Oryzias latipes: one gene and its partner. The protein of the gene in region 2 interacts with the protein of the main gene of each other region in a pairwise test. Links are inferred from orthologs where the notes say so. Each region holds a gene or a part of one and is shown on either strand. Other genes may lie near its edges.

Evidence for each region.
Region 1: the proteins of irf9 (region 2) and interferon regulatory factor 1 interact in a two-hybrid assay, tested with the Homo sapiens proteins (2 studies listed by BioGRID and IntAct). The link is inferred for Oryzias latipes from reciprocal best matches to the Homo sapiens genes IRF9 and IRF1.

What each region holds. Positions count from the first base shown.
Region 1 is NC_019872.2:4,966,968-4,974,487, forward strand, and holds interferon regulatory factor 1, read left to right. Parts: upstream 1-2,821; 5' UTR 2,822-2,980; intron 2,981-3,510; 5' UTR 3,511-3,516; coding exon 3,517-3,603; intron 3,604-3,755; coding exon 3,756-3,855; intron 3,856-3,938; coding exon 3,939-4,106; intron 4,107-4,240; coding exon 4,241-4,278; intron 4,279-4,450; coding exon 4,451-4,583; intron 4,584-4,683; coding exon 4,684-4,800; intron 4,801-4,907; coding exon 4,908-4,936; intron 4,937-5,130; coding exon 5,131-5,221; intron 5,222-5,332; coding exon 5,333-5,451; 3' UTR 5,452-6,027; downstream 6,028-7,520. UniProt on the Homo sapiens protein: Transcriptional regulator which displays a remarkable functional diversity in the regulation of cellular responses.
Region 2 is NC_019878.2:23,623,789-23,631,249, reverse strand, and holds the start of irf9 (interferon regulatory factor 9), read left to right. Parts: upstream 1-3,536; 5' UTR 3,537-3,649; intron 3,650-3,967; 5' UTR 3,968-4,010; coding exon 4,011-4,067; intron 4,068-4,930; coding exon 4,931-5,053; intron 5,054-5,118; coding exon 5,119-5,299; intron 5,300-5,588; coding exon 5,589-5,716; intron 5,717-5,843; coding exon 5,844-5,928; intron 5,929-5,998; coding exon 5,999-6,058; intron 6,059-6,132; coding exon 6,133-6,522; intron 6,523-6,608; coding exon 6,609-6,724; intron 6,725-6,943; coding exon 6,944-7,111; 3' UTR 7,112-7,461. Other genes in the region: E3 ubiquitin-protein ligase RNF31, read left to right, coding at 339-428, 519-633, 826-938, 1,170-1,283, 1,430-1,478, 1,546-1,642, 2,169-2,334, 2,412-2,459.

The DNA.
Region 1 (7,520 bases), on a different chromosome or scaffold from region 2:
GCATAAGGATGGTGGATCTATCAGGAATAATTTGTGCAGCAGAAATATGTTATTTAGCAGAAACCTTCAAAAATGATCAAAAGTTGACTTAAAAAACTGTAATCGACCTAAAATAACAGTGGAGCTGCATAAAAGCTGTATTCTTTTACGACGAATGTCAAAGTAAATTTAAATTTTCTTATCTACATTTTCATAAATAACTTTTTTGTAAAAATAACAAAACAAAACAAAAACAGTAAAATAGTTTTACTCCACCATCATTTTGACTTTTATTTGATTAGATTTATGATGCAAAATCCGTACTCGTGTTACTGTGACTGTTACTCTCTAGTTAAGATTATTTTTTATTTATAACATTGCCACTTTTTATTGTAGTCATTCATATCACTATATTAGCCTATAGGTGTTAGTAAGTAAAAGTTACAAAAATGATCATCATCAGCTAAGATTTTTGCCAAAAAGTCTTGTTGATTGATTGAATGCCTTTTATTTTCAAACACAAAATTCGGTAAAAAAGTTAAATAAACATGATAAACAGTGGAGTGAAGAAAAATAGTGTTAATTCCCTCCCCAAATCATACTATATTTTATGCATTTTACAAATAAACATACAATAATTAGTCACATAAACACACAAAAAAAGAAAAAAAAAAGAAAACATCAAGGTATCAAAATGTCCCAAAGATGACTGTACAGTCTTTGTCCCATCTGGCTCATCATTTTCCAATTTGTATGTTTCCAAAATTTTCAGCTTGTATTTTTTTTAAATTATTTAATATTCTTAGTCATATTAAAACCTTCCTCCGTGTTTTTCACACCCGCAGCACACAGACAGAAATGTATGGATACTTTTTTGTGTTATCCTTACACAAGGTTGTTTAATGGTGAGTGGTAAATGAGGTGTACTTGTAAAGCGCTTTCTACCTTCCTCGAAGGCCCAAAGCGCTTTACAGTCACAGACCTATTCACACATTCACACACTGATGGCGGCTCCGCTGCCAAACACTGGCACCAACCTTCCACCAGAGGCAAGGTGGGGTTCAGTGTCTTGCCCACTACGACACATGGGTGGGCAGGGCGGGAAACGAAGCTGCAGTCTTTGGATCAGAGGTCAACCGCCCCACCGCTGCATCATGGGTAAGAGTATTTTTTATGGAAGGCTTGAAAAAGTTTGACTTTGATTTTAGAAAGCTGACTGATGATGAAAGGGGGATCAATTTGACATTGGAGTCATAATTAACTTTAAAAAATGAAATATTTGGCTATAAATTGTTTATAAAGGGTTTAAATATTAAACTTTGGTATTGCTAGAATAAGAATGTATTGTTCAGAAGTTGAAAAATATGAAAATATTGAAAATTTTTGCAAAAAAACAGCAACTGTGGACTATTTAAACTCTTTCTTCTTATGTCAGCAATTTCCAGAATATATACATAAATATCATATTTAAATTGTTATTGAGTGCATGATCAATATGATCAATAGGACTTCTTTTTTACTTTTGCAAGAAAGTTCTCAGGTGGGATCCTATAATTCGTGTTTTTTTTTAAATTTCATTAGTGTTGTTTCAGTTTCATAAAATAACAAAAAGTCGGGATATCGGGAAGATCTTCCCCTAGAAATCCATGTGCATCCTTTAATTGGGAAACCCCACGCACGGATTGCCGACCAAAATTCCACAGGAAAATTCCCTGCTTTTCCCTGGGTGGCACGCGCGCTCTCAAGCAATGCACTTGACGCGAGGGCGTGGGCACGCGCCTCAGTGCGTGGGAAGCCCCTAGAATGGACAGCAGTCTGAATGCGGCAGCCGTGGAGTTTCCCCCACTCTCCCAAGGTGCAAATAAAAGTATTTAGTGAAAACAAACACTCTAAAGGAATTAAGGGCCTGCGCCATGTGGATGCTGACAGGTCTACGCATTACACTCTGACTTCACGACTTGGTTTACAGGGGAAAATATCTCACGAGGAAACGCTTTATGCTTACTTCAAGTGTTTGTGGAATGCGCCGCAGCTTCCGGGTATCATTTTTCCCGCGGTCTCAAACGTCTCACCACAAAGCACGTGTCAGAAGTAAAGCCAATGCGACGCTGCCCCCAGCGGCGAACATTATTACTACACCATTTCTTGTAAATGCCCGACTTCTCTGAGGCGCTGCTGTTTATATTAAAGGGCTCGTCTCGTGTAGATCTGTATCTTGCCAGGTTGAAGAACTCATGATGCATCATCAGCGTGGCTGTGCGGGCGGAGAACCTCACAACCAAATATCGGGGCTTCTTTTAATTTAAATGCACTTTTTTCTAAAAAATACAAAAATGAAGCACGTTTATAACATGCATTATATCTTCTCTTTCTGTCCAATTAAAATAAATAAACAAATAAATAAATATATTTACTTATTTTTTTCTTTTCTTTTTCCTTCCAATGTGTAATAATGGTCATGAAACATCAATATAATAGAACAAGCAAGGATTGACACTGTAAGTGATACTGTCTCTTTAAGTGAAATAAAACACCTCGGGTATAATAATTTATGTGCGCAAGTTTCTGCAGAAATGTATACAAAGTGTGCACGCCAGCCGGACGCATGTAAACTGCGGATGGGTCCGGTTATTCAGACCACCCTACAGAAAATAAAAACATATATAGGCTACGTGCAGCGAGCGAGCTGCTGAAGCCAAGCCTTTTCATTAACTTCCCTCTTGGCACCGGCAGTGCAATTTCTCGGAAACAGATCGGTAATCGGCAGTAGCGCATGCGCACTGCGCTTAACTTTGGGGAAACCCAACAAACTCAACTGGGATATAAAAGGAGGACTGTGAGGGGTTGAGTGATCACTCTTGATCAAGAAAGACTTGCGAGAGGATAACTTAAGGATAACTTAAGGACAAGAAAAGGTTCTGGGAAAGAAAATCCCTCAACTACTTTGGACATTTCCCTCATTTTTTTTCCTGCAGCAAGAAGCAAGAAAGAAAACTAAACTGTAAGTAAACAATACATTCATGAAAGTGCACTTTCTTAGTTTGTTTGATATATCTGAATAAATGCGCATGGCATATGACAGGAGCGTGCTTGAGTATTCATTTAAAACGACTTTTCTCAGGCTTTTCGGTGCGCTCTGAGGAATGGACATGATTTGCGCATCTTCACAGTGAACACCACAGGATCTGCGGCGCACTTAGTTATTTTTACGCGCATTCTCTTTCAAAACCCCAATTCAACATGCAAAAGCTCATTTACAATTACGTCTTCGTTAAAAGCCACAGATTTTTTAATCTTGTGCCGTTATTTCATTTTTTTCTAACTTCACATCGACTCCCACGCGTAAACGCCCCCCTTTTCGCGCCCTGCGCTTCCTGGTGAACTCCTCAACCTCTTGCGCGGCGGCAATAAATCTCGAGCCAAGGCGGATGTGACCGTTAATGTGCAGTTAACAACGTGGATCTGACACAAACAGCAGTATTTCTCTGGCTGACAAAACGCTCTTCCCCTCTTGCTCCCTGCACATTTTAGGCAAGCATGCCTGTGGCGAGGATGAGGATGAGGCAGTGGCTGGAGAAGATGATCGAGTCCGAGAGCATCGACGGGCTGCGCTGGGTGGAGAAGGTGAGGACTGGAATCTGCTGCAAAGACAAGTCATGCAATAAATAAACAATTGTAATTCAAAGAGTACAGTAAATCTGCTGTTGCTTCGTGGAATATTTTAGATCTTAATTTGGACATAAATCTAAGCCCACCATTTATTTCTGTTATCACAGGATAAGAAAATCTTCTCGATTCCCTGGAAACATGCAGCCAGACACGGCTGGGAGATGGATAAAGATGCATCCCTGTTCAAAGAATGGGCTATCCACACTGGTAAGGAGGCTAAAAACTTTACATTATCTTCTTAATTATCTTAAAAAGACGTTTTTAACCAAAGTTTTTGATGTTTTCTGCAGGAAAATATGTCCAGGGTCAGGCGACTGATCCCAAGACTTGGAAAGCAAACTTTCGGTGCGCAATGAACTCCCTGCCTGACATCGAGGAGGTGAAAGACAAGAGCATCAACAAAGGCCACCAAGCTATGCGGGTCTTCAGAATGCTCCCCATTTCTCCCAAATGCAAAGGTGAGCAACTGACACCAAATCTTTGATTGCTTTATTGTGGTTATTAATGTTGTGCAGCATCTGTGTGAGATGAGCTGGCACTAAAGAGTTTTGATTCCAATCATCCTAAAGATTTGTTTCTTCTCTTTTCACAGCCAAAAGGAGCAAAAGTGAGGCAAAGCACAAAAACAAGGTAAATAGTTTTACTGTTGTTTTCGTGGCTGCAGAGGCACTTTATTTGCATGTAGTCAGATGCCCATCCAAATGGTGCCATTGACCCACATAGTGATATGTAAATAGGTACCCAGGCAGGAAACGTGAGCAAGACATGTAAGATGTAAATTTATTCAACCTTATCTCCATAGAAAACATCTGTCAAGATGGAGGAAGACAGCGACTACAGCGACACACAGTCTCCTGTCAGCACATCGACGCAGGAGTCCAAGTTCTGCACGCAGGAGAACACAATCGACAGCACCGCAGAGATCGAGCAAACAGGTGAGGAAGAACATACTGATGAGCTGATGGGCGTTTTGAAGCTCCAACCTTTCCACGTGCTAACTTGTGATACCTTTTTATTTACTTCTTTTTCCTGCAGAATTCCCTTATGTTGGGCTGTCTGAAGTACCAGATTGGTCTTTGTCAGTTGAGATTGGGTCAGACCCGTTTTCAGCGTTTTCCCACAGATTCGAGGTTTCCCCCGAACACAGCCCCAGTAAGTTAGCATCTTCAAACGTTCACGATTGTTTATCGGATCAAATCCACAGACCAGTGTACTCATTTTGTGCTTCTCTTCCTCTTCCTTTGGCTGTGATCTTCCAGACTACGACTGCTCCCAAGATATTATTGAGGTAAGCATGACTTCTGACTCCTCCTCCCTGCCTGCATGCTCTTTTCATTGACAGGAAAACCCATTTTTGTCTTTTACTTTTCCTGTTTTTATTTTTTACATTTTTTTAAATAAAACACCCAAAAGAATAAGTTGACTTACTTGATGTGATAAATCAAAAACATGGATGTACTCAATTGGATGTTGCTCTTACAGCTTTGCAAGCAACTCGAGAAAGAGAACAATGGGTTCCTGAGCAATGAAGCATGCACCAGTCCAGGAAGCCTGTGGAGTGAATCTTCCTCAGGTAAATGTCCCTAGCTGATGAATGAACGGTGCAATTTAAGATTACCTTTGATCTACAAGCAGATATCCCATCCTCACATTCACTAACTGCATTTTAATTTCCATTTCCCAGTCGATGAACTAGAAGACACGTCGTTCTACACGCCCCAGTACACGACTTTGGGACCAGAGTTTTCCTGTCAGACGGACAACTTGTGGAAAAATTATTATCAGTACCCTGCCTGCCTCTGAGGTCTCCAGGAGAGGAGTGGACAGGACGCTTCTTAGACACAATGGACTTTTAAGAGCTTTTTCTGATCCACCTCACTTTCCCATTTGAGCGCAAGCCCCCCCCACCCCCCCAGGCTTCCCTCAGGTGTCCACACAGTAAGCTAAATCACCGCCCAGCCTAGCCCATGGACTTCTATTTGTTTGGTAGCAGTTAAAGAGAGTGTGATCATCTCTCCGGCCCCCCTAATGTGAAGAATGAAGACATTGTTGACTGGATCAGAGCAGAGTTGCTGTTCCCTTGTAGCGTAGGTACATAACTCAACCCACTGGTAGTTAGAAATATACACCCTCTGCTAATGGAAATAGACTAACTCTCAGTGCATGTGGTATGCTTCTTAATTGTCACAATCTCTTTTTATCCGTTATGTGCACTTAAACTTGTCTATCTAAAATGGGCAGAAATGCATTCTTACAATACAAAAACAGCTTTCCGTGGTGCTTAGGTGTGAGCTCAAGGCAAATGTAAAATATTAATGTACATAGTTGTTTGGTTTTTGTGTTTTTTTACAAGAAAAATAAAAATATCTTGAAAAAAAATATGAACACTCTTTATTTACAAGCAAAACAAAACGGTGAAAAAAAGAGTTTGCTCAAATCCATCTCGTCCTTAAATGACTTGACGTTTGATTGACTGTAGCTGGCATGACTTTAAGAATGTGGATGATTTTCTAAAGTAGTAATTATTAAGTAGATCCTTAGATCATATTAAATTACAGAAAAGAATTAAAAAGCCAGAGGAAGGAGAAGCATGCACAGTTGCTCTTTTTTTTTTGGGATTCCCCTGGAGTCCCAGAAGTCGCTAAGGGGAATATCAGTTAATCTGTCACATTTACTGTTGAGACTTATCATTGAGAAGGAAGACGAATCAAAAGCCAGGGCGGGCAGATTTGATGAATTATTCCTGTTTTAGTAGATCCTTCAAAATAAACCTGAGCTTTGGCAAAAACCTTTTCAGATGACCCAATGGCTGGCATCTATTTGATTTTTTTTTTTATCCATGCAGCCTTCCAGTCATTTTAAGAGCCTTTATTTTGAAAAGCATCAACAATTTTCTCCCCATTCACGAATGTTTATCCAAACCCTCACAACACTTAAAGTATGTCGCTCAAAGACGCTGTTTTAGAACCTGAATTAGTTGTTGGATAAATACACTTTGCCGGTGTGTCCTGTGGTTTTATAACCTTGGAGTGCAGGGAAAACAAACCATTTCCAGTAAAGCTGATAAAAGCCAGAGGTTATGGCTGCAGTCAAGACACAGTTCACTCAGAAGGCATAAACTTATGCAACTTTATTAAGTTGGCAAACCTTAATAAGGGACAATCACCTTTCATCTGTGAAGTTTACCCACACAATAATGATCTGGGCAGAGTCTGCTTCATCAGGTCACCACCTGCCACGTTTATTGAAATAAAAAGTGTTTGACACCATTTGAAAGTAAGGTGAGAATTATCTTAAAAACCTACTATATTAGGAGCCTGCAAGGCATTTTAATGTTTCCTGGAAGGTTAAAATGTTTGTTTCTGCAGAGATGGTAAAAGTGACTAATTCCAGTCTTCCAGATTCCACTCTTTCCAGCGCTAAGAAAACATTTGCAGAGACAGATTTGAAAATTTAAAGCTTTTATTGCATCTTTTATGACAAATAACACTGTTCACATCAACAGATTTCTACACTTTTTCCCTTGAAAGCATTCGCTTGACAGTATAATCTATATTCATTTCCTTTTTTAAATTACTGCATTTTTTCCGTTTACAGTCGTTACGCATCAACAAAAAGATGTAAACAAATCCCAGAAAAAAAAGGTTGGGTAGGACAATTCTGATATCAAAACAAGTTAAATATTTAAATAAATAATGTGCTAGTACTATTATTTCTGTAAAAATAAATCTTGATTTGAAATGTTGGCCGTGAATAGCCCAATATAAAATAGAAGGACCAACAGAATTCATTTTCTTATTTTAAAATTTGTCAATCAACACAAGACAAAACGCATAAGAAAGGACATTTATAGCAGGAATAAATGTTACATT
Region 2 (7,461 bases):
CTCTGGCCAAACTATGCAAGAAACACGACTTGGACTCTGAGAAAAGCAGGATTCGTTTTTTTGCTGTCCTGCGATCTACCCACACATTGCGTTTTAAAGCTGTAAAACTCTTCGCTACACTTTCTACACTTGTCTCAGACGTCTTTCTTTTCTCGTTTAAACTCAAAGTTTTAACGTTTGTAGAAAAATGAAGTGAATAAAATGAAGCTGCTTATGTTTGGGGTTCTGGGCTAAAGGAGGGTTGGGTTAGACCAAGGCTGTACAAGATCAACGCGGGGGGGCGGCTTCACTGTGTGTGTGTTAGGCTGCAACAGGTGTGTGTGTGTGTGTGTCTGCAGTGCACCTCTGGGTTTATCAACGATGGAGACCAGCTGAAGGTCACCTGCCTCTCATGCCACAAGAGTTTCTGCGCCAAATGCAAGAAGGCGGTGAGTTGGGCTTTGCAGAAGACCTTCAGCCCTTCCTCTCAGATCTTCTTCGTGGTGATCGGGGCTGAAGGAGTTGTGTCTGTGCTTCAGTGGGAGCCCCAACACCAGGACGTCTCCTGTGAGCAGTTCCAGCAGTGGAAGAGGGACAACGACCCGGAGTACCAGAAGCAGGGCCTGGCTGGTTACCTGAGAGACAACGGCATCAGTGAGTGTTTACCTGAGAGCTCTTCGCCCCTCCAACACACATATTTAGACTCCGAAACAACCTCTGTTGTTCCTGCAGTCAGAGGAACACGAGTTAAAAAACTGTTCAAAGAAGGGCCCGAAACGGGAAGAAGCGGTCTGAAGTGAAAGGAGCCTGTTTGGACTAAGGTGTCCGTCCCCGTTTCTCCCTCAGCCTGTCTCCAGTGCGGCTTCCAGTACGCGCTAACCAAGGGCGGCTGCATGCACTTCACCTGCTCCCAGTGCAGGTACCAGTTCTGCAGCGGCTGCAACAACCCGTACCACAAGGTGAGCGGCAGGTGACTTCTGCACATGCTCAGATGAGAATGCAGAAAACGGAACAGGAAAGATCTCTGCCATGTTTGAAGCTCAAACATTCAGATGTAGCTGGGCCGGTGGGAGGGGCTTCCTGCAGACGGAAAGGATGTTCAAGTTCTTTGATTGTTTCCCATCTCTGAGGTATTTTCTTAAAAGGTATGAGATGTTTTGATCCTCACAGCATCTGCTGCTCTCCTGCAGACTGCGTGCAAAGCTCCTCAGTGCAGTTACCCCGGTCTGCACGCCCACCACCCTCGGGACTGCCTCTTCTACCTGCGGGACTGGGATGCGGCTCGGCTGCAGGCGCTGCTGCAGGTCAGCTTCTGTGTTTGCGAAGAGGAGAGGGCCGCTGACGCCGTCACGCTGACGCCGTCACGCTGACGCCGTCACGCTGACGCCGTCACGCTGACGCCGTCACGCTGACGCCGTCACGCTGACGTTTCTGTTTTTTTTGTGCTCAGAGGAACAGAGTCGGCTACAACACGGATCCGTCCAGCGGGGCTCAAACGGGTAAGTCTGTGTCCGCCCGCCGCTCCGCCGCCAAAGGCTGGAGGATTCTAAAGTGCTTCTGACGCAGACGCCTGCGGCGTGATGGAGCAGAAAGACGAGGGCGGGCAGCAGGTGGACTCTCCCTGCGGCGTCCAAACGCAGCCGGGTCAGGCGGGACTCTGCGAGTGAGTAAAACGTCTGCATTATGAGCTCTGCTTTAACGTATCGGAGGATTTCCTGATTCCAATCATGAGTCGGGGGCAGAGGAACAAGGTCGCATATGTGACGTAGAAACCACGAACTCTCAGCAATGGCGAGGGGAAGAGGGGGCGGGGTTACTAAGGGGGCCGACTCAGTGTCAGATTTGTCATGAACTCCTGCCGCTCTGCAGACACTATGAAAACAACAGCATTTATTTACATTTTGGCTAAAAACGGCTTCATCATGAATAAAAAAATGGTGGTGGGACTTGGCAGAAACGGCATTTTTGTTTTTATTTGAAATCACCGGTTAGCAGAAATGAAGCTTTTGATGAGAACACATTAATTCAGTTTAAATTACAAAGACTTTATATATTAGTGGGGATTTAAGCAGCTAAACAGTAAAGATCAAAAGGAGAAATTTCTCCTCAAAGGACGGGACATCAGCATCTCTGTGAGGCTTTTGAAGCTCCTCTGAAGCTGCGGGTTCTACTCCCTGTCTGCCCTGCAGCAAACACTACAGAGAGTACCTGGTGAGTCTGATCAACGCTCACTCCCTGGATCCTGCGCCGCTCTACCAAAGCCAGGAGCTGACCCGGGCCTGTGAGCGCTACCAGGTGGACACGCAGAGGGCAGAGGCGGAGGACGACAACGACTACCACGCCCGCCTGCTGAAGGTTAGTGGTGAGCTGCGGGACGGCCTAACCACGGCTGATACACCCCCCACTCATGCACGTCCTGCTGTGTCCCACAGAAACTGATGGAGGTTCCTCTGGGAGAGAAAGTTCCTCGAAAAACATGAAGAAACGCAGCGGAAGTGGCATCAGCTTGAGTTTTGTGTCTGTGATGGAGGATTGTCTCCCCTCACTGACGGCGTTTGCTCTTCTGTGGTCGTGTCTCGGCTTCATGCCACGAATCATTTTCATCTTTGAAGATCTGATCGTTCCGATTTGACTGTCTAACCCGCTCAATAAAAATCAGGTGGAACCATGATTGTAGTTTCTTTAAAATGTTGGATTGACCTGAATAAACCTGAAGTGAGATTATCCGTTGTGCGTCTGTGAGTTTTTGTGTTTCAGTCCAGGGGTTGAGGATCCCTGTTCTACACTTCCTTTTCATTCATTCCTCCACTTGTGCAAACCTGCCTGCAAGTCAACATCGTTTTTTTCTGGGCTGCATCTCTGCCTTATTTTCTCACCATGTGACAAAGAGTTAAAATTACCTACTGGCATTTATTACCCAGAATTCACTGTCAAACGGGAACATGCGTCATAACTCTTTTCTCCACACTGGTAAACAGGACATGACATCACACTTATTCAAGTTTGCTCTGTTGTGTGATTACCGTGTACCCTTAAATGGTTTATTATTATTTTAAAATATATTTTAAGGAAGTATAGAAGTTTTGAGTGTAATGTTTGGGTAATTACCCTGTGGGGAAGTTTTGGCTGGTTACACTGAGGGTAACAGAAGCGCAAAGGTTCAGAAAGGAAGCACTCATTTTTATTAATGTAGAATCCTAATGTCAGTTGATTTTTGTTCATCTTTTTTAGCTGTCATTTTTTTAGATTTGGCATTTTTGTGTCATTTTCTCCTGCACAGGGTTTGATTTTGACTGGATGTTGAACCATCCAGTCAGAAGATGTAGTTGGTTTGAATGACTGCTGATGAGATACCCCTGTTGGTATTGAAAATGTATTTTTCTAAAGGACAGATGAAGCAAATTAATTGAATAATGCTTTAATGTGGAGTCGACCCTTTTTTTATGTCTTTTTGTTTGCTTTTCTATCCCGAGTGTTTGTTTCTGTGTTTTGTTCTCCTGAACACAATAAACGGTGTACTTTGTCGCCCTCTAGCGGTCAGCGGTGGGTCGTTTCGGTAAAGTCACGTGGTTTCGGGGAAAAGGCTGTGTCCGGGGGCTGGACGGGGACTGACGGATTCGAACTTGAGAGCAACAGAAAGCGACGGCTTCACAGAGGAAACACCGCAGAGGTAACGAAACCTAATTCCGTTACTGTGGATTTGGGGAGCGGTGGGGGTGGGGTGTTAGGGCTCACTGTTATAAAAATAGATTAACTGAAAAGTTTCGGTCCGAAACATGCGAGATTATACGAGCTCGGCTTATCATCTTCTTCTGAAAAACATGGACCGCGCGCGCTCGCGCACACTTCTCGTTTTGCTGTTGTTCTGTCACTTGTTTATAAGTTTTTTTTTTTTTTTAGTTTGAGGTGTCATGATGAAAAAAAAAGATCTAGTTCAACTCAATGAATCAATAAATAAATAACCGCGTTTTCTTGTTTATGCCTACAGGTTACTTCCGCCTGTTAGGTAAAAAAACCCGTTTTATTAGGCCATGGTGGCGGTGAGGATGCGCTCCACGCGCAAGCTGCGCTCGTGGATCATCGAGCAGGTGAGTCTCCTCCAGGTGGGGTGGGGGTGGGGGGATAAAATGCCCTGTCCTAAAGTAAACACGGTATATGTTGATGCATTAAAACCTTCAGACAAAGGTCAGGGTAAACTTAACACGTCAACCTGGATTCTAATGTCAATCAATCTTGTGGATTACTGATGGTGTAAATATTGCAGCATATATAATCTCTGTGTGTTGCAGAGATACACCTTATTCATTCATATGAGCCACGGACACGTAGATTCTTTAAATGTTGCTCACAGTTTGATGTCATGTGTTCCAAAGTTTGGTTTTCACCACACCGACTGTATAGACGACGGACGCATGGAGGCGTGACGTCACCCACAGGGCATGCCTGACCTCCAGCTCTGGCGAAATGAGGCCAAATCCCTCGCCACTGCTTCCTGATACGGGCGCCGCCATGTTGAAACCAGTCGACAGGGATTGGTCCAGGTCGCTCTGAGTCCTCGTATCTATGGCGATGCCGACAGTAGTTGCCATAGATACCATAACCCAGAGTGACCTGCACCAATCACTGTCGACTGGTTTCAACATGGCGGCGCCCGGTACTGGAATGGTACTTCCTCCCCCCCCCCCCCCCCCCCCCTATGTTCCTTGGGAACATAAAGGGGGGGGGGGGGGGGTTGAGCCGTCCGTTCGTTTTTACGTCAATGGTTTGGGAAAGTTGTTGACCATCATCTTAAGAACATTGACTTTTTAACTTTGGGGGGTTCAGCAGATCGCTGCCTCTGGTGGTCTGCTGTGGAACTGCAACGGTCACTTCTGTGTTTGGATCACATTTAGGAGGAAAACTACAAAAAGATTCAAACCAGCGACCCTCTGATGTCTTCTGGGATCCACAGGTCAGCAGCGGGAAGTACCCGGGCGTCATGTGGGACGACGACGCCAAAACCATGTTCCGGATCCCCTGGAAACACGCCGGAAAGCAGGACTTTCGTAAAGACGAAGACGCCGCCATCTTTAAGGTGAGGATGTGGATCAGGACCGGAGCGATGGCGGCTGCTAAAGACTGACGGCTCCGTGTCTGCAGGCGTGGGCGGAGTTTAAGGGAAAGCTGACGGACGGCGGTGAGGACAACCCGGCTGGCTGGAAGACGCGCCTCCGCTGCGCTCTTAACAAGAGTCCGGAGTTCCAGGAGGTTCCGGAGCGAGCCCAGCTGGACATCTCGGAGCCCTACAAGGTCTACCGGCTCGTCCCCATCAGCGAGCAGGGTGGGGCCACTTTGCTTACCCCCCCCCAATTTGAACCATGAGGCTCTCTTTTTTTTTAGAGTCTCTATTACTTTTTCCTGGTTTCTTATCTAACCCCTTATCTTTCCTGCAGAAGTTTAAAAATTTGACATGAAATAGTTAATGAATCATTTAGTAATAGACGTCTACAGATTCAAAGAAATATCTAAGTTAGTCCGTGCATGCTGGTGCTCTCTGAGCGCGCTCTGTGGCGGTGTCCCGCCCCCACCCGCATGGCTAACGCGGCAGGTTTTTGTACTTCCCGCTCCAGGTTTGGTGATGCCCGAGAAGAAAAGCAAGGAAAAGGGCAGCAGGAAGCTGAAGAGGCGCGGCAGCGAGGCCCAGAGCGAACCCAGTCTGGTCAAACAGATGAAAACCGACGAGGCTCCGCCCCCACAGGCGAGTTAGGCGGGACGGTGCCGAAGCCTCCCGCTGAACATCCTTCAGGAAGTTGGGTTGGTTGGTTTGGTTGCTATCGGAAACGGCGGGGAGGTCATGAAGGCTTTCTTCCTCCTCATTCCAACAGCTGGAGGTGGAGCTTCTGCTGCAGAGCGCCATCCCGTCACCGATGGAGGAGCCCCCGCAGAGCAGCACCGTCCTGCAAACCGACGGTGAGTCTTTTCCCCCACTGAAGGATTCTGCTTGATGTTCCTCGCCGTAACGGGTTTGGCGTTTCTGCAGCTCTAGGGGAGATCCAGCTGGACGTGCGCATCGAGGAGAGCGTCTCCCCCCCTGCTCCAGGTAACGGGAGGCGGGATGACGTTCGTGAAGCCCCGCCCTCCCCGGACGGTGACGGGGATGTTTGCTGTCTGCAGGTCAGGACTCCATCGTGGTGGCGGTTCAGTATCTGGGGCAGGAGGTGGCCCGGCGGCAGATCCACGGCTCCGACGTCAGGATCCTGTACCAGCCGTCGTCCGCCCTGCCGCCGACGCCGGCCGCCCTGAACAAGAGCTTCCCGCGGATCCTGCTGCCGGAGCCACCCCCCACGCTGCCCGCCGGCCAGCAGCGCCAAGCCATTTTCACCCTGCTGCCCTTCATGGAGAGGGGGGTGGTGCTGACCTCCCAACCGCAGGGCGTTTACGGAAAGAGGTTCTGCCAGGGGCGGGTCTTTTGGACCGGGCCGCATGGCTGTGAAGCGGGTCTGCAGCGCATGGAGCGGAACACGGAGCCGGTGCTGCTCTTCAGTAAAGACATCTTCAGGCAGCGTGAGTCCCACTGTCCAATGGGGGGGAGGGGGGTTGGTGCTCATGTTTCTGTCTGCCTAACCCCCCCCTCCCTCCCGTCTGAGCAGAACTGGATCATTTCCGGACCAGCGGGGGCGAGCCCCCCCAGTGCAGCTTCACTCTGTGCTTTGGGGAGGAGCTGTCTCACACAGAGGACCCCAGCACCAAACTGATCACCGCCACGGTGAGGAGGTCCACTCAGACCCCCCCCCACACACACACACACACAGACAGAACCAGAACCATGCTGTTATTTCTGACCCATTTCACATTCTGTAGTATTTTTTAGATGAAGGGGTTGTCAGAACTGGCCTGCTTTTAGGCTCAGGTGTTGCTCCTGCTCCTCCTCCTCCTCCTCCTCCTCCTCCTCAGCATCCTCTCCATGTCTACACCTCCTCTGCAGGTTTCCATTCCCTGGGCGGAGGAGCAGGTCCAGAACGCCCTCTCCATCTTTCAGTCCATCTCCGTGCTCCAGACTCTGGCTAGTCAGTCTCCGCTGGGGGAGATCACCCTGAACCTGGTGTCGGTGCCGGCAGCAGCTCAGGAGCCACCAACATCTCCCTCCGTCTGACCGGGAGCGCCGCCGAGGGAGGGGGGGGACGAGCAACCAGAAGGTTTTGCTCTAAGGAGTTTTTGCACAAACATCTCCAGCACTTCTATTTCACCTTTACGCCAAGTTTGAACCTTCAACCCCAAAAATCAAGTGAACTGAAGGTTTTCAGATCAGGAAACACTAAGACTGAAGGAACGTTGTATACATGAACGTTCCTCAGAAGATGGAGGAAAAAAACAAGTTCAAACTTTTATTTTGGGATCTGGAGTGTGACTTCCTGCTTCCACATTCTCCTCAGAAGCTTAGAGCTTCACATTCCTGATGATCAGATGTTCTGGTCGGTAAATCCGTCCAATCGTCTTCTCTGT